Linked DNA regions of Caenorhabditis elegans. The protein of the gene in region 2 interacts with the protein of the main gene of each other region in a pairwise test. Each region holds a gene or a part of one and is shown on either strand. Other genes may lie near its edges.

Region 1 (5,035 bases), on a different chromosome or scaffold from region 2:
AACACTACAAACTACAAGATTTTGGGCGCTGCTAATTCAATTTTGGGCGCTGCTTAGACTACAAACTACGAGTTTTGGGCGCTGCTAAGACTACAAACTACAAGTTTTGGGCGCTGCTTAGACTACAAACTACAAGATTTTGGGCGCTGCTAAACTACAAACTACAAGATTTTGGGCGCTGCTAACACTACAAACTACAAGATTTTGGGCGCTGCTAATTCAATTTTGGGCGCTGCTAATTCAATTTTGGGCGCTGCTAAACTACAAACTACAAGTTTTGGGCGCTGCTAATTCAATTTTGGGCGCTGCTAAGACTACAAACTACAAGTTTTGGGCGCTGCTATGCGATTTTTCGTATAAAAAACCTAGTTTTCGACTGTTTTTTCGGCAAAAAATTGGAAAAATGAAGAAAAAGTGAGTTTGGGCGCTGCTAAAACTACAAACTACAAGATTTGGGCGCTGCTATCGCAATTTTTCATGTTTTTTTTCTTCGTTTTTCTCCACTAAACACAATGAAATTAATTTATTCGACACGGAAAAATTGGTACAAAAAATTACAAATTCGCTAGAAAAATCGATACAAACAAAAAAAAAAGGCTGTTCAGGATTTATCCAAAAAGTACATGTAATGCAGTGACGCATCAATTGTGGCGAGCAGAAGCTCATCGACCGCCCGTCTAGTGGCTCTTCTTATGTGACTTCTTCGTGTGCTGCTTCTTTGAATGCTTCGAATGGTGTCCATGATGGTGGTGGTTCTCCTTGTCGTCATGGTGTCCGTGGTGGGCTCCGTGATGGGCTCCGTGCTCGTGGTGGGCTCCGTGGTGTCCGTGGTGAGCCGGGGAGTGATGGGCTCCGTGGTGGGTCCCATGACCTCCGTGATGTCCGTGATGTGCTAGGGAGTGGTGGGTTCCGTGGTGTCCGTGATGGACTCCGTGAGATCCGTGGTGATGATCTCCATGGTGTTCGTGATGCTCATGGTGTGGGGCGTGGTGGTGGTGGGCTCCGTGGTGTCCATGGTGAGCTCCGTAGCCTGCTCCATGATGTCCGTGATGAACTCCATGCTCCCCATGGTGTCCGTGGTGAGCCGGTGCGTGGTGACCATGCCCATGGGATTCGTGGTGTCCGTGATGAACTCCGTGAGATCCGTGGTGTCCGTGGTGTCCGTGATGAGCTGGAGCATGGTGGTGCTCCCCATGATGTCCGTGGTGAGCTGGGGAGTGATGGGATCCGTGGTGTCCGTGGTGGGTCCCATGTTCCCCGTGGTGTCCATGGTGTGCTGGAGCATGGTGGTGCTCTCCATGATGTCCGTGGTGGGTCCCATGTTCCCCGTGGTGTCCGTGGTGTGCTGGAGCATGGTGGTGCTCCCCATGATGTCCGTGGTGAGCTGGGGAGTGATGGGATCCGTGGTGTCCGTGGTGGGTCCCATGTTCCCCGTGGTGTCCATGGTGTGCTGGAGCATGGTGGTGCTCTCCATGATGTCCGTGATGAGCTGGAGCATGGTGGTGCTCCCCATGATGTCCGTGGTGGGCTGGGGAGTGATGTCCGTGTCCATGGGATTCGTGGTGTCCATGATGAGCTGGAGCATGGTGGTGCTCTCCATGGTGTCCGTGGTGGGTCCCATGTTCCCCGTGATGAGCTGGGGAGTGGTGGGTCCCATGGTGCTCTCCATGATGTCTGTGGTGGACTCCGTGCTCGTCGTGATGAGCTGCGTGCTCATGGTGCTCTCCTTCCTTGTGCTCGTGATGAGCTCCATCCTTGTGCTCGTGGTGCTCATGATGGGCTGGAGCGTGCTTCTTCTCGTCCTCAGATTCTGAGGAAGATGAGGAGCTGGAGCTGGAGCTGGAGGAAGAGCTAGAGCTAGAAGAGCTCGCGGCCTTCTTGTGATGCTTCTTTCCGTGGCTCTTCTTGTGATGCACCTTCTTCTTCTTCTTCTCGTCTTCAGATTCCGAGGAAGAAGACGATGAAGAAGAACTGGAAGAGGAAGAGGAGCTGCTGGAAGAGCTGGAGCTGGAAGCGGCCTTCTTGTGATGCTTCACGTGCTTCTTGGCGGCGTGCTTCTTGTGATGGTGCTTCTCATCCTCGGATGAGGAAGAGGAGCTGGAGGAGCTCGAGCTCGAGCTGCTGGACGAGCTAGACTCGGCCTTCTTGTGATGCTTCTTCACGGCATGCTTCTTGTGGTGATGCTTCTCGTCTTCGGACTCCGACGACGAAGAAGACGAGCTGGAGGAGCTGGAGCTAGAGGAGCTTGACGATGAGCTGCTGGAAGAGCTCTCAGCCTTCTTGTGATGCTTCTTCAGATGCTTCTTGGCATGCTTCTTATGGTGATGCTTCTCGTCTTCGGACTCAGATGAGGAGCTGGAAGAGGAGCTTGAGCTGGAGCTCGAGGAGCTGGATGAGCTGGAAGAGCTAGACTCGGCCTTCTTGTGATGCTTCTTAAGATGCTTCTTGGCGTGCTTCTTGTGGTGGTGCTTCTCGTCCTCGGATTCAGACGAAGAGGAAGAGGATGAGGATGAGCTGGAGGAGCTGGAGCTCGAGCTGCTGCTGGAGGAGGAGCTGGAGCTGCTCGAGTCCTGAGCCTTCACATGGTGATGGTGGTGGTGGACCTCGTGGTGGCCTGGATGGGCTCCGTGAGCATGATGGGTATGGTGACCGTGGTGTGGGGAGATGAAGCTCAGGAATCCTGAAATATTCCTGTTTATTAAGAGATTCCAAAGCTCCGGACCAACCTTTCAATGAGATGTGTCCATCATGAGCATGATGATCAAAGACCTTCTGGAAGTGGAGCTCCTTGGCCAGGTGCTCAATATCGTGGAGCGCCGAGCGAGCTTCATCCCGAGTGAGCTTATGCCCGTGCGAGGAGTGCTTCGAGAAGAGCTTCTCTGAAAATTATCATGATCTTTGACTACCGTAGGTGATACTAAGAAACTACAACTGATAACATGTCAGTTGTGTTGTGTTGGCAAACATTTCCGAAATTTTCTAATTTTTTCGGTAATTTCACTGATAAGAATGATCTTTGGCAGGAAGCGCCGAAAACTCACTGATCTTGTGAAGCGACACGTGGTGGGTGTGATGATGATGGTGCACCGTCATTGTTTAGGTTCTGGAATTTTCAGAATTTTCAGAATTTTACTCGAAATTCAAAGTTAAGAGGGATTTTAGAAGTAAAATCGAGAAAAAGCCCCGAAAATTTTGATAATCACCGTCCTCCTCCGCCCCATTTTATAAGCTTTTTTTAGGCTCCGCCTCCCTTAAGTTTGACTCCGCCCATTTTGACACGGGAGGCAATTAAAAGTTTTGATGATGTTTGGAGAAGTGAGAGATCGAGATAAGACACCCGGAGAAGGAGAAACGTGAAAATTTGGGACGATGATTGTCAGAGTGATGTAATATTTGGGGAGGTAATAGGAGAGGTGATGAAGTCTGACAGCTGTTGAGCATCAGCATTTGATTAATTTTCAAAATTTTCAAATTTTCAGCTGATTGTATTATAGTAGTTCACTGAAGGGTTTTGTGTGAGAAGTTGGAGGTTTTTGTGATTTTTCGGGTCTCGGTAGGTTCTAGCATACCGAAAAAGAGCCTGACCTTTGGACACTGACCTTTTCTGGAACGTTTAACTGCTTCCAATAAGCTTCAAGTGGCTCCGAGCAGCCTGATTGCTAAAATTTTCTAATTGTTTCAGTTAGATCATAGACATTTCTAGCGGCTTCCAACTAGTCCTAGACCCTTCCAAGTACTTCTAGAAGCTACCAGCCTGACCTAGGAGTTCAAAGCCTGGCCTAGGCGCCCAGCAAGCTTTCTGAAGGCTTCAATTTGCTTTTAGTAAGCCTTGTGATCGTCTAGCAGATCTAAAGTGCCTTCACGAGCTCTTAGTGATTCCGAAAAGCCCGACTGCTGAAATCTTCCAATTGCCTCCAACAGCTCATAAATGTCTCTAGAAGCTTCCAGCCTGACCTAGGAGTTCAAGCAAGCTTTCTAAAGGATTTAATTTGCTTCTACTGAGCCCTGTACTATTCTAATAGGCCTCAAGTCCTTTGTGAGTTCCCAGTGGCTCCTAGCAGATTTTAGCAGCTCCGACGAGCACGGCTTCTAGCAGCTCCCTATTGGTCCGATAAGCTTCTATGGGCCTCTAGAAGCTCCCAACTGGCTTTAGCTGCCCTCAAGAGCTCTGAGCAGCACTGGGTTGCTTCAAGGTGTTAGATTCCTGGTTTTCCAGATTTTAACCAAATTCAGCAGCTCTGATTGGGCTTTCGGAGCTTTCAGCACCCGCCGACCTTTCCCAACTGCCCCTAAAAACTCCAAACTGTGTTTTCTGAAGAGCCACACCCAAAACTGCTATTTTATGAGCCTGTGGCATTTCCAAAGATGATGGCAAACTTTTAATGGTGCTCTTAACACCTTTTTTTTGTTGGAAATTCGAAATACTAGTTTTCTAGTTTTCCAAATATCATGTGATCATTCAATCTTGCAATGGTGGTTATAATTCATTATTTGCACCAACAATTAATACTCCTTATCTCTATAATGTTCTTAATTTGCTGCAATTGAACTGGTTTTTGAAGTACCAACTACACTTTTTGAAGGTTTCCGGTGGAAAATTCAGGAGTTTGAGCAATTTTGTCAGAAATTTCCGTTTCCTGACAATCTTCTGGCTTCAAAATTCGAGTTTTTGACTTTTTCTCAAAAAAAACCGGGAAAATTAGGAGAAAAAGCTTCAAATCTGGATAGTTTTTCCGGAAAAACATCGAAAATCGATGTTTCCTCAATTTTCCTGAAACTTTGATATTTTTTGGGCCTTTGACTTGAAATTTCAAGCATTTCACAGCATACTGTCGTGGAATTCATACAGGCAGCCTAATTTTTAAGATCCTTGACTTTTTTCCAGTTCCTGTACATTTTCAGCATTCGGGAGCAATTTCCGCCCCACGTTCCGAAACCAAAAACCGCAAAACTATTCGAAAAATGTGCCATCAGCAGGTTTTTCTCTCTCCATAATTGATTATCGGTCATTCTGCCGCTGCCACTCGTTTTTCCT
Region 2 (4,542 bases):
TCAGAGGCCTCGATGTGGAAACCAACGACGATTTTCGAGATATTTAAATTGAGATATGATATGAATAAAACATTTTGTCTAATAAAATTTTTCAAAAAGTTTCACACGCAGGATTTATGTACGAAATGTTTAATTATTATTGCGTGGAGGTTTTTTGTGTCAAAATCTATAACAACTAATATTCCCAAAAGACTGGAATTAAACACCGAAAACCCTTATTGACGCAGGTAACACCCTTGATGACCGTTCATTATTTTAAGTTTCTTACCGCTTTTCAAATATAACACGTAATTGGTGGGTTTAGCTTTTGTGGTAAAACTTCAGTTTCAGAAATTGAGTGGAAAAGAAAAAAAAGAAGATAGATGTTCCGCAGATTATAGAGATTGAAAGCTAAAATTTACATGACTGAATGATTCATAAATTTTTCTATTCTAGAAATTTCTCTGTAATTATCATCCCAAGAGGGAATAATAATGATAAAATATTTAGTGAAGATGTATGATGCAGGAGATGAACATATGTAGAAAACAATTTATTTATCAAAATATACACAAAAAACCATCACAAAGTTATTTTTTCCCAAAAATTAATAATTAAAGTTAATTTACTTTCTGCAGGAAGCCGAACAACTCTGCTGACAAGCTGGCTGACACTGCGAGATTGGTTGCTGTTGCTGAATGCATTGGGTGTTGCAGCTTTGCTCACATTGTGGCTGACACTGTGGGGACTGACGAGCAACTGGAACATTGATGGTAAGCTGAATTTGTTGTTGCGTTTGAACTGGAGCTGCTGGAGCAGCTGGGGAGCAGGCTGGCTGGCATTGAGCGTCGCATTGTGGAGCGCACTGGTTCACTGGGGTCTGCTGGACTTGGCATTCCTGGTTGCACTGGGTTTGGCAAGTGTTGCACTGGGAGATGGTTCCTCCGACCTACAAATTTAGGTTGGATTTCTTTAAATCTAGATTTAGAAGTAATACTATTAATATGTTACCTGAACATTGGTGTCTCTGTATGGCTGGTAGGTTGGTGCAGCAGTCTGGGAAGCTCCTTGGTATGATGGAATGGCTCCTGGCTGTTGGTAGTTGTTGTTGGTTTGGTAGTTGTTCTGGGCCTGTGGCTGGTAGTTGACTTGGTTGTAAGCGGAGCCAGATGGCGTGGCACATTGTGGCTGGCACGATTGATCACATGATGATTGGCACTGTTGCACTGGCTGCTGTTGCTGCTGGCATGTGTTAAGGCACGAGTTTTGGCAGGTATTGCATTGACTGGCTTGTTGCTGTTGTGGTGGGGCAGTATTGTACTCGGATCTTCCGGTGTAGGCTGGGATTTGTCCTGGCTGAGCGTAGGTTTGCTGTTGGATCAATTGTTGAGAGTACTGATCATCGGATTGACATGTCGTCTGGCATTGCTGCTGGCACTGTTGCTGTGGTTGTTGTTGTTGTGGGCAAGCAGCTTGACAATCTTGTTGGCACTGTTGCTGAGCTGGCTGCTGAAGCTGAACTGGCTGAGCGCATGCGGACTGGCAAGTGGAAGAGCAAGATGATTGGCACTGGGCGATTGGCTTAAATAATATGAAATGGCTAACTGGGTTGAATTTGGTTTGACTAACCTGTTGCTGGGCAACACAGCTCTGTTCACAGGAGCTCTGACAAGTTGGTGCACACTGTTGTTGCTGATACTGTTGAGCGCATCCGCAGCTTGATGGCTGTTGAGCTTGAGCGCAGGAGCAAGATTGTTGGGCGGTGTTGGTTTGAGCTGGTTGGCAGTTGCATTGTGGAGCAGCTGGAATGGCGCATCCACATGAAGATTGGCGACGAGCGCGGAGGAACTGAAAAAGGAACGACTTAATTTTTCAACTTAATTTTTTAGTCTTCTGGATAATATCTCATTTGCAAAAAACCTTCTAAATAGGCCCTTGCAAAAAAAATTAAGCGGCAGAGGAGAACTTAGAACTAGAAAAATTTCGATCTGAAGTTGCTATTAGTGTATTTTTTTTATTACTTTAGAAGCCCGTAAAATTGAAAATCAGAAAAACCCCTTGAGTGAAAAAATTTCAGATTTTTTCAAAAAATTAAAAATTCCAAAAAAATTTACGATTGTTAGCCAGCTCCTAAACATGCTAGAAGCTCTTGAAAGTCAGCAAAAATTCACACTTGGCACATTTTTACTGCCCTCGATAGTTCGAAAGTTGTGAAAAATTCATTGAAAACTTTTCAGAACGACTTTTTTGCAGCTCAAAATACTCCCCTGTTGCTAAATTTTCAGTAGTAAAATAATGAAGTCAAACGATAAACTATTTGAAACATATATTAAGAAGTTCCTATATTTTACTTAATTCATATTCAAGTTATGCAATTGCTTGTGAGTGAGCACGAAATGTTTTAAAATTAAAAAATAAGTATTTATAATATAAGAGTTAGAAAAGGGGAACAAATGAAATATTTATAATTAGATTCATAAAAATAATACATACCACATTCTCCTCAGCAGCCACCGCAAGTGCTGAAACCGCCAAAAGCGAAAAGAGAATTGAAAATTTGGTGTTCATTTCAAGCTTGTCAGAGTGAGTGATGATTGTCCCAATACATGCTCTTGCTTATATATCTTCCCGTTGCAATCAGTTAAACATCGCCCCCTCTCCTCTACTACCACCTCTGTCCCAAATTCCGGTTTCTTCGAGTGATGCGTCTCCAAATTTTTTGCGTGTGCCTGTGTGTGTGTGTGCTCATGTGTTTGGAAGAGCAGAGCAAGAGGGGGAGGGCGTGTTGTTATGTTGACATGTTGTTATTTTTTTGTTTTTTACTTTCTAGTATTCACAAGGGTTACAGTTGAAGAACTGGAGGGACGTGATCTTTCAGGACTTGGTCGATGTCAAAAGTCTTCCGGTGGTCTTTCAGCAGCCATCACAAACTACAGCAAAATATCTTTCTTCTTTAAATAATCTTTCTGATTAATTTGCAGTCACAAATTCAGTTCCTCATTCCTCATTACTCATAGAGTTATTACAAAGACAAAAATAGATATTTGAGAGTTCACTCGGTCAATCACCATTTCTAAAGTTCTTACTTTTCTTCCCAACAACATTAATTATCCCTGTGAAGTCTAGACTATGATATAATTGTTGTTGCTCAGAAAATAATCATGGAACATATTTGCAAATAAATAGATTTTTGTATATGGTGTAAATGTCATGAGTAATATATTACGTAATAACATTCTGACAGGACAATAACGTATGCTCCATGGGGTTTCAGGACGAATGACATGTTTTCTAGAAACTACATGAGTAAAATAAATTAATAACAAGATTTTGACAAATTCAAAACCCAATGGCAAAAGTATCATTTTCAACTTTAAATGGTTATGTTTGCAAATATAAGCTGTTTTTGTTGCTCTAGGAAGATATCAGTTAAAAACTCTTTAAAAAGTTATTAAAATGTATGAAGATTGCTTTCATTATTCTCAAACTTGTCATGTAAAACATCAAAAACCTGCCAGTCTATGACCTACAAATTGCGTCAATTGTTTGATGTTCTAAACTTGGTGAGAACTAGTTTACCAGCGCTGAATCTTTTTTGTGCTCAAAGCGGAATGGAATTTTTTGATCTTAGTCATTGCATCTTTACTCTTGTGGAGGTGCACTCATACTAATATCATATCATATAACCTGATAGTCTTGCCAATATTGCGGGAAACTGATAAATCCACTCGGCAAATAGTTTTGGTGCAGTTTTCGATATTTAGTACGAATGTTTTTATAAAATTATTTCAAGGGAAACCTTGAATACTTTGTAAAATTACATTGTACCTTTTTGCAGATAGAGGTCTTAAATTCATATTACATTTTTTTACAGCGCCTTCACACCCACCCAAATCCAAATTCCGTTGAATTGTTTTCATTGATACTCATGATTTTTTGTTACCACAATCGCTCACGCTTTTCAAGAGATTATTCTTGAGGAGCATGTTTCCTTAGGATCAAGGGTGTGGGAAGAACATTGCGAGAGTGAGAATGAGCACGGAAAATGACCGGTCTTTATGAGAGCGGAAGTATGTATACACTATCTCTATCTTGTTAGACAAATAATCAACACATGTAGTAGCTAATGTAGGAATGCTAATTATGTTAAGACGTGTGGGGGGATTAGATGCTGTGAATGAGCAGTTCTACAAAAGATCAAGGGGTACTGAGAAATTTGCTCTTTTCGATAGGAAGACTCTGCAAAAGATCAGATGCATGGATTCTCAAATCACAGCGTGTATTTGAGAGCTACACAACAAAAAATGTGTACGGCTGTCGAACCGTATTATACAAAAACTTTTCAAATTAGGGGCGGGCGGCAATTGCCGTTCGGAAGTTTTTTTGTCGACAAATTCGGAAAATCGGTAAATTGCCGGTTGACTGGTTTGCTGAAAATTTTCAATTCCGGCAATTTGCTAGTTTGCCGATTTGCCAAAAATTTCAATTCCGGCAATTTAGCAATTTGCCGGAAAAAATCGTTTGCCGCCCATCCCTGATTCAAATATAATATTTGAAAGAAGT
Region 3 (3,305 bases), on a different chromosome or scaffold from region 2:
CAAGTTATTGAATTCAAAAAATAGAAAACAATAAAACACACGTACTACCAAATTATTCACGTTTGCATAATGACTTCCCGCAGCTGATGTCATAAGCCAATCAGCTAATCAAATTATTCAAATAGTAGAAGATCAAACGTTTAAAATAGTTTTAACTGCGATATGAATTTAAAATGAACCGAATTTTTTGTTGCAGTTATGAAAAATAATCTGTATCGCCCTCTATCGCCTTTTCCTTAACAATGCTGATAATAATGTAAAAGCCAGAATTCTGGCCTCCCGTTACCCATTTTGTCACTCATAAGACACGTAGGTGGATAGACACACATCTAGTGGAACATGACCTACACCTGCCTACCGCCAAAATGAACTTAAACCTTTAGTCTTTAATAACCAAAATGCTTGTTAATACTTCTCAAATTCTGCAAAAAACCACGGTAAAATAACTGAGAAAACGGAAAAGTTCTGGTAGGTATAAGGTACAAGGTACGCCTGAAAACATGCCTGTTTTATTGTTGTAAACTGTTCACCAAAAACTTGCACGTTAAAACATTTATTGTACGGAAGGAATGGTCAGTTCCATAGTCACCCGATGTGTGTCTTGAAAGAAGTAAGGAGAAATGTCAGAGAAAATTGATAAATTAATAGATTAGCAGAGTCTGCAACTTGTGGCACATCTGGATTTGCGTTGAGCAGCTGTGTAGAAGGTGTTGGTGCAGAATCCGTTGGCGGCCCAAGCTGAGCAAGATGAGCTGGAGTCGGCGGCGAATGAAGTGCAAGATCCCGAAGATGCAGTGGTGACAGTTCCGGATCCAGTTGTCGATGGGCATCTTCCGCAGGTTCTTTGGCAGTATTGGTTAACGAAATCTTGCATTCCGACGGTTTGGCAAATGCTCAAGTCGTTTCCGCAGTTGGTGACAGCATCGACGCATCCTCCCTGGTTGCAGAATCCGCAGGCAGATGGGCAGTCAGCGGCGATGATGGTTCTCCAAGTGACAGAGTCGCATTGAGCCTTGGTGATTGTGTTGCAGTTGAGACGTGGGACTGAAAGAAGTGGGAGCGTGTTTTAGGAATACTAAAATAAAAATAGGAACTTACAAGCAACATTTGGACAATTGTAGGCGTCAGTTGAGCAGCAGAATCCACAGGTCTTGGCGCAGTTGGCCAAGGCAGCAGTCTTCATGTCAGCAACAACTGGAGCAGGAGTTGGAGTGGCAGTTGTGTAACAAGCAAATGGTCTTTCAGCATCATTTCCAGCAGCTGGGTATCCAATAGCCGCATCTGCTGGTGGGTAGAGAGCAGCACACGATGAATCGGAAATCGAGTTCGAGCAGGCTGTGGCGGATGGGGTGTAGACGAACTGAAATTTTAATATTCTTACTATTAGAGGCCCTTCGAAACGCTATCCTAAAAACATACCGCTGTTCCATTGTAAGTAGTACAATTCAAGTCACCACCAATAACGGCGCTGCTGAATGGGACGAAGAAGAGGCTGATGAGGAAATACATTGCTGGATGAATTGCTGTTGAAATTCTTGGATGATTACTCGACAAACCGATATCTCTTATATACTCCTATTCATCATATTTGATCACCTGTCTGACAATAGTGCACAGCGATGAATTCATTGTTTCCATTTTACCAACGTTTTTTGCTTGTTCAAACAATGTTAGCTTTCCATGCAATCATTCATTTGTACATTAAAAATCACAACGCTTTTTATTCGATATTTTTACTGGATTGGTCAGTTCCGTTAGAATGAATAAGGTAATTGGGTTCAGAAAGCGTCACTGGGCTGGAAAAAAAAATGGGGCGGGGGTGATAAATTATGTGAAGACAAAAATTAGCAAATCTTGCAGGTCGATGCACAATAAGATTTTCTCTGAGCACTGGTGTAGAACGCATTGGTGCAGAATCCATTGGCCGCCCAATCGGAACAGAGAGATGAACTGTCAGCATTGTAAGAAGTGCATGTGGAGGAAGATGAAGCTGTGGAGCTTGAAGAGGTTGTACTTGATGATGGGCATCTTCCACATGTTCTTTGGCAGTAGGTATTCACGAAATCTTGCATTCCAACTGTAGTGCAGATTGAGATATCAGTGGCACAGTCAACAAGAGCATCAACACATCCTCCCTCGTTACAGAATCCGCAAGCAGATGGGCAGTCGGTGGCAATGATGGATCTCCAGATGATAGAGTTACATTGAGCAGTGGTGATTGTTGAGCAGTCGAGGCGTGGGTCTGAAATTGGAAAATAATTTATTGGTGGAATTGTTAGAGGAGCCTGCTAGGTTAGCCTGTCGATGAAAAAAATTTTAATTTCTTACAAATTCTCACTTAAAAAGTTCTAACCCTTTAATGGGTTTATCTGATACATTTGAATTTTTAAAAAATGTGTTCAATTTGATATATTTTACAGATCATTAACAGGTTCTGTTTTTGATTTCTTTCGTTTAATTGATCATTAGAAAACTTTGATGATCAGTTTTTTACCTGTTTTTGTTTGTGTCAATCTGATAGTCGGCTTCGATCAATGTATATGTAACTTTATCGAAACATTTTAATTTATTTTTAAATCTTAACAATTTCCCTTTAAGATTTAATTTTTCATAAAGGAAATTTCAATAATTATAACATTAATTGAAACTTTAAAAACGTAATTGTAGTTTTTGTAGTACCCCAAGTCAAAAACCATTGGGTTCAGTGTTCGGAATACGTGACTTTTGAGAATCGATTTGCCGTAAATGCCTTATAACAATTCGTTCACAATTACGGAAGTAGAATTCACAAAGTAACTATTTCAAATTGGTGTTAATCTCTTTCAAACTCATGAAGTGGCCCCACCTATTTCTTGGATTTGATGCAATTGAATTTTCTTAGAATTTTCAAACATTTACTGCAACTGTATGCATCAGTTTGGCAGCACAATCCACAAGTCTTGGCACAAGTCTCCAAAGCAGCAGTCTTCATGTCTTGAACAATAGCTGCTGGAGTAGCTGTGGCGGTTGTGTAGCAGTTCAATGGTCGTTCAGCATCGGTTCCAGCTGATGGGTATCCGGCAGTGGTGTCTGGAGCAGCGTAGAGAGCTTGGCAAGCTGCATCAGAGATTGTGTTAGAGCATGCGACAGCGGATGGGGTGTAGACGAACTGAAAATCGATAAAAGGTGAAGATAACTTAAGGTTTTTAGGTACTGGGAGTTGCTTTATGTTTAAAAGTTGTTTGAAACCAAAAAATTGAAAAAACTGCTTGACTTGAAGTTTTGAAAATTTGAAGAGTGGACGATTTTCTATTTTCAAAAGAAAT
Region 4 (5,676 bases), on a different chromosome or scaffold from region 2:
TAATAAAGGTGGACCTCTCACCTGATTGGTCGGAAAGTGGGCGAAGCAATTCGCTGGTTGGTCGGCCAAAATTTAGCCAAAATTGAAAAAAAGGTGTTTTTTTTCTGTGGAATTTCTGAATTTTTAGGATTTTCCAAAAAAAATCCGAATTTTTTGATTTTTTAACAATTTTCAAAAAAAAACTGCTTTTTAGGCCCCGCCCACTTCTTGGAGATAGGTTATTTTGGAAAATAAATTCCAAAAAAAACACTGAAAATTTCCGAATGCCCAAGAAGTGGGCGGAGCCTAAAAATAAATTTTTTTGGATTTTTTTATTTTTCAAAAAAAAACGGCTTATTAGGCCCCGCCCACTTCCTGGAGATATCTGTTTTTCTGGAAAGGAAAAAAATTCCAAAAAAATCACTTGAAATTTCCGGATATCCAGGAAGTGGGCGGAGCCTAAAAATAAATTTTTTTGAAAATTTCCAGTAGATCTTTGTTGTTGCATTTTTCTCTATATTTTCAAATTGTGTTTGCTTTTATTAAATATATAAAATGAGACCAAAAAACATGGCAAAACAAGTGAAAAAGATCAAAATAATTATGATTTCCCGCCCGAATCATCGATCAATAACGTTCACGTCTTCTGTCATCATTGCGATGATGCCGGCTCGAGCTTCGGTCATATCCATGACGATCGTGATGACGGTGTGGCGTGGAATTCTGATGACGTCCATTGTACGGAGGAGCGGATCTATTAATTTGTTGCTGCATCATTTGATTTACAAAATGTTGATGAGGAAGCATTTGCGGAGTCGAATATTGTGGAGGACCTGGAAAATATTGATTTTTCGATTTTTTTTCCGACATTCTTGCGTTTTTCGGCTGAATTGGTTACTTTTTTCAGCGAACTTTTTTCAGCTTTTTCAATTTTATTCAATTTTTTTTAGTTATTTTAGGTACATTAAGCTTGTTCTCATGAAATTTAGGTCTAAAAATCTAGAACTTTTCAGAAACTTCTGCAAAAAAAATCGATTTTTTGGAAAAATTAACGAATTTTTCCGACATTTCTGCGTTTTTCTGCAGAAAATTTATTGGTTTTCATTGAATTTTTCTCTAATATTTGATTTTAGGAATGATTTTTCAGACTTTTTGCCGCAAAAAAAGTCCCTGAAACTCTCTAAAATTGGCCACTTTTGAGCTTCAGCAATTTTTTTTTGCGGAAAAATGTCTGAAAATTGGACAAACGATGCTCTTTTTTTCGTCTGGTGTAATTTTTTTTCCCAATTTTTGAGTTATTTTAGGCCTAATTAGGTAAATTGAGCCTGCTTTTATGCAATTTAGGGCTAAAAATCTCCAATTTTTCAGATTTTTGAACAAAAAAAAATTTTTTCTAATTAAGATTTTTTCACCGATTTCTCACTTATATTGAGGGGGTTTCGGAAAAATTATAGATTTGTTCTTCTAAAATTCCTCAAAAATTGGCTCAATTTTTTAAAAATCAAATTTTCCGGCTAATTTCCGCAAAAACCTTGCAAATTATCGATTTTTAGGGTTTCAGCATGTTTTTTTGCGGAAAAAAGGTTGAAATTTTGAATTTTTTGCAAAAAAAAATTTTTAAAAAAAAGATTTTTTTTCCATTTTTCAGTTATTTTGAGCCCGTTCTCATGTATTTCAGGCCTAAAAATCTCCAATTTTTCAGAAATTTCAACTAAAAATCGATTTTTTTGCTACCTCTTTCCCCTCCGCTTCTCCAATGTCCTCCGGATCCTCCCATCAGTGGAGGTGGCGGTGGAGGTGGAAGAGGATCATATTGTCGATGATGACGAGGAGGCTGCTGCTGCTGCCATGAGTCACGGTTGTTTCCGTTTCTGGAAAAGACAAAAAAAAAATGATTTTTCGGCCTTTTTTTGTTGATTTTCAACGTTTTTCTTCGATTTCTGAGATTTTTAATCAAAAAAAAAATGTTGTGAGACAGAAACCAAGCCAACGCCGGGTATAAAATAAAGCCGAATTTGATCTTTTTATCATCGTCTGAGTTAGAGATGAAGCTTCTTATCGTATTTTTCGCTGTAATTTCTGTGGCTGCGGGGCAGAGCGTGAGTTTTTTATAATGTTTTTTATAATTAAAGGTGGTGTTACACCACTGGTGTAGTAGAATTTTTTTTAAAAATTGCCTTATTAGGCTCAAAATTGTCTGAAAACACCGAATTTCATAATGAAACTTCTTGAAAACTTTTCAGAAAAAAGTTATGACGGCTCAAAAAATGGCCTAAAATTAGATGAAATCGGAAATTTGACCGACTTGTCAATGTCGCAGCGGCTGGAAATATTTTTTTTTTGAAATCACCGTTAAATTTTGAGTCTACGAGTTGATATTTTGCGTTTTAAACTTGATTAACAAGGAAAGTCGAAAAATTTAATGTCTGACTTTGGCATGACATAGTATTTTTTTCGATAAAAGAGTGAAAATAATGATGCCTCCAAAAAATTTAGCTGCCCGGTCCAGGTTCGGCAAAGTTATGACGTTTTGAAAGTGACTGGAACACCTTTTTACAAAATTTCAAAATTTTCAAAAAAAAAAAAAATTTTCTAAAAAGAGGAAAAAACTGTTTTAACTTATCCAAAAATGAGAAAAACATTTATCATACACGTTTTTTCTCACCACAGACCAAAAAGCACATTGCTTGATCTACATAACTTGAGGAAAATTCCAAAAAGTACATTTTTTTGCAGATTTAATTTGTGGGTTTTCTTGAGAGGTATAACCTAAAACTTGCATAGCATATGTTTTTCATTGTTTTGAATAATTTACACACATTTGCTCCTCTTTTTAGAAATTTTTTTTTGTTGAAAATTTTGAAATTTTGTAAAAAGGTGTTTTAGTCACTTCCAAAACGTCATAACTTTGCTGAACCTGAACCGGGCAGCTAAATTTTTTGGAGGCATCATTATTTTTACTCTTTTATCGAAAAATACTATGTCATGCCAAAGTCAGACATTAAATTTTTCGACTTTCCTTGTTAATCAAGTTTAAAACGCAAAATATCAACTTGTAGACTCAAAATTTAACGGTGATTTCAAAAAAATATATTTCCAGCCGCTGCGACATTGACAAGTCGATCAAATTTCCGATTTTAACGAATTTTAGGCCATTTTTTGAGCCGTCATAATTTTTTTTGGAAAAGTTTTCAAGAAGTTTCATTATAAAATTCAAAAAAAAAATCAATTTTGTTTCTTTTCAGATCATCTGGAACAATAACAATGCTAACAGATTCCCAAGTTGCTTTGGTACGATTTTTAACGCTAAAAAATCAATAAAATTCAATTTCCAGCCTGCTCCACTGCCGCCGGCTTCGTCGCCAACATTGACGGCCAGTCTACAAATGCTCGGTGCACTGACGCTGCTTCAAATCCAGCCGAACGATGCCCAGGATGTTGTGCATCCGTTGCTCTTGCCGCCGGGCTCTCCGCAGATCGCGCCTCCGGATTCCCGTCGACAAACGGAAGAAGCTGTGTTTGCTGCGTCAGATCGTGCTAATTGAGCCTTAAAATCCTTGAATTAATCCAATAAACTCTACCTATTCCTGTTCCGATCATCTCTATAGCTATCCCGTCTTCCGTCTCGATCCGGTGCCGCTACCGATCGAACTCTTTCCTCGATTTCTCCTTTTTTTCGCTTATATAATTCCTCCTGATTTGTGCCATTTCGCGGCTTTACTTGTAGTTCTTGATTGAAAAGTCGCACTCCATTCATCAATTCAATGGCGAATAGTACAGATAATTCGTCCTGAAATTTATTTTTTTTTTTAAATTTTTCAGCGAAATTGCTTACCTCAAACTCCACCAATGCGAATTTTGCATTAGAATCCCTCACATCTCTCAGAATAACTTTTACAACGGGGCCGGCTTGAATAAAAAGCTCTTCGAGCAATTCTTCATCGACTTCTTCTGAAAAATTGGCCACGTATATTGTGCGCTCTTCTGGAGGCGATGGCGTTGGTTTTATTTCCATTTTTTGCTGAAAATTCAAATTTAAATTCGAAATTTCGAAAAAAAGGCTGAAAATTCACTCATGTGAGAGAAAAAGCGAGAAAAACGAGAAAAACCAAATAAATCCCATTCCCATTCCCGGATGGCGCAAACATGTCCTCGCTGACGCGTTTCTCGATTTTGCTGGCGCATATCTCGTGCATAGAGAAAAGCCAGCACGGCACTAGAAAAGTAGAACCTAGCCGACAAAAACTGGTTGTTTTAGCAAATTTACTTAACCTTTTTCCGTTTTTTGTGAAAATTAATTGTTTCCAAAGTATATTTCAGGTACTTTTACTAGTTTTTTCCGTGTGTCGAGTGGAGAAGAGGCTCGCAGAGCTCTACAGTTCGATTTAAAGCAAAAATTAATATTTCTCCATGGAGCGAGCGGTGTATTTATTTTTAAAATTTTTATACAGCTAAACCGCTCAATTCCTGAGAATTAGCTTTGTTTGAAACCAAACTTAAATTGACTTAAAAATCCATATTTCTACCTCAAAAAATAAATCGAATCCGTCTCAAGAGCCCTTTAGCCACCCTTTAGCCCCCTTCTTCCTCAGAAAAATGTCCGCTTTTTTTTAATTCAAAAGAAAAAAGGTTATTTCTTCCTCATTTTTCTCCTGTATGACGAATTTACCTGCTTTTCAGATCGTCAGAGCGCCCAAATGAGTCATTATTTATTTGTTTTACTAACTATTTCATAGCAGTTTCAAAAAAACTAGAAAGTTCTTTTCAGGTTCAGGCTATGAGGAACAATATTTTTCTAGATTGATAAATAAATATTTCTCCGTTGTTCCGCAATTTTTATCGAGAAAAAACAAGATCAGGCGCCCCCTCGTGGGGTTTTTTTTCTGAAAAGTGCAATTTCCTGCCTCTCTTTTGCTAGACGATTCATTAAAAACCCACAAATGATGATGATAAGACATCAAATTTTGATTTCTTTGGCATTTTTTACAAAGATTTTTGATTTTTTTTAAACGCTAATCGTAATTTCGTACTTTATTTAGTGTGTTTAAACCATAAATTGTTAGAAATCTTGTCTCAAACACATATGTGCTCATGAGCATGCTCACAAATACTTTTTGATGACAAAAACAATTATTTTCACTGATAACATGTAATAAAACATAAAATGAACATAAAACATGATTTTTAATGCAAAAAACCCCTTTTTTCGAAGAATTTTGATTAAATTTGATATTCCACTACTTTTCCCCAGCTCTTTCACTTTCCGCCTTTTCTGGGTCTCCCCCGTCGTCTCCCATATCTCTTCTTCCCCGTTCGTTCTCCCATTTTCTTGGCTAATTGCCAAGAAATTGGAACAACGCCACATCTGTCTCGCGCGCCACTGCAACTTTTTCCTCACGAGGGACGAGGAAAAGTGGTTTCTAGGCCATGGCCGAGGGGCCGACAAGTTTCAGCGGCCATTTATCTTGCTTTGTTTTCCGCCTGTTTTCTTTTGTTTTTCATCGATTTTTTTCGTTTTTTCTTATTAAAACTGATAAATAAATACTTTTTGCAGATGCTAAAACAATTTCCAAGTAAAAAATTATGTATTCAGTGGGCAAGCAGCGGTGAAAGTGGCCAATAATCATATTACAATGCCCACTTTCACCGCTGCTTGCCCACTGAATACATGATTTTTTTACTTGGAAATTGTTTTAG

The links.
Region 1: the proteins of abu-11 (region 2) and Y39B6A.1 interact in a two-hybrid assay, tested with the Caenorhabditis elegans proteins (one large-scale study listed by BioGRID).
Region 3: the proteins of abu-11 (region 2) and phat-4 interact in a two-hybrid assay, tested with the Caenorhabditis elegans proteins (one large-scale study listed by BioGRID).
Region 4: the proteins of abu-11 (region 2) and rbm-7 interact in a two-hybrid assay, tested with the Caenorhabditis elegans proteins (one large-scale study listed by BioGRID).

What each region holds. Positions count from the first base shown.
Region 1 is NC_003283.11:19,200,505-19,205,539, forward strand, and holds Y39B6A.1 (Histidine-rich glycoprotein-like), read right to left. Parts: upstream 3,104-5,035; 5' UTR 3,094-3,103; coding exon 3,042-3,093; intron 2,880-3,041; coding exon 2,727-2,879; intron 2,681-2,726; coding exon 678-2,680; 3' UTR 509-677; downstream 1-508.
Region 2 is NC_003280.10:191,988-196,529, forward strand, and holds abu-11 (Activated in Blocked Unfolded protein response), read right to left. Parts: upstream 2,572-4,542; 5' UTR 2,548-2,571; coding exon 2,473-2,547; intron 1,828-2,472; coding exon 1,609-1,827; intron 1,561-1,608; coding exon 991-1,560; intron 929-990; coding exon 605-928; 3' UTR 522-604; downstream 1-521. Other genes in the region: T01D1.8 (ZP domain-containing protein), read left to right, coding at 1-52.
Region 3 is NC_003283.11:4,128,142-4,131,446, reverse strand, and holds phat-4 (ShKT domain-containing protein), read right to left. Parts: upstream 1,544-3,305; 5' UTR 1,510-1,543; coding exon 1,420-1,509; intron 1,361-1,419; coding exon 1,099-1,360; intron 1,045-1,098; coding exon 650-1,044; 3' UTR 538-649; downstream 1-537.
Region 4 is NC_003281.10:12,927,868-12,933,543, forward strand, and holds rbm-7 (RRM domain-containing protein), read right to left. Parts: upstream 4,001-5,676; 5' UTR 3,995-4,000; coding exon 3,815-3,994; intron 3,770-3,814; coding exon 3,561-3,769; exon of another isoform or gene 3,521-3,560; coding exon of another isoform or gene 3,315-3,520; intron 3,271-3,314; coding exon of another isoform or gene 3,225-3,270; intron 2,079-3,224; coding exon of another isoform or gene 2,025-2,078; exon of another isoform or gene 2,006-2,024; intron 1,851-2,005; coding exon 1,714-1,850; intron 813-1,713; coding exon 607-812; 3' UTR 503-606; downstream 1-502. Other genes in the region: Y37D8A.19 (uncharacterized protein), read left to right, coding at 2,025-2,078, 3,225-3,270, 3,315-3,520.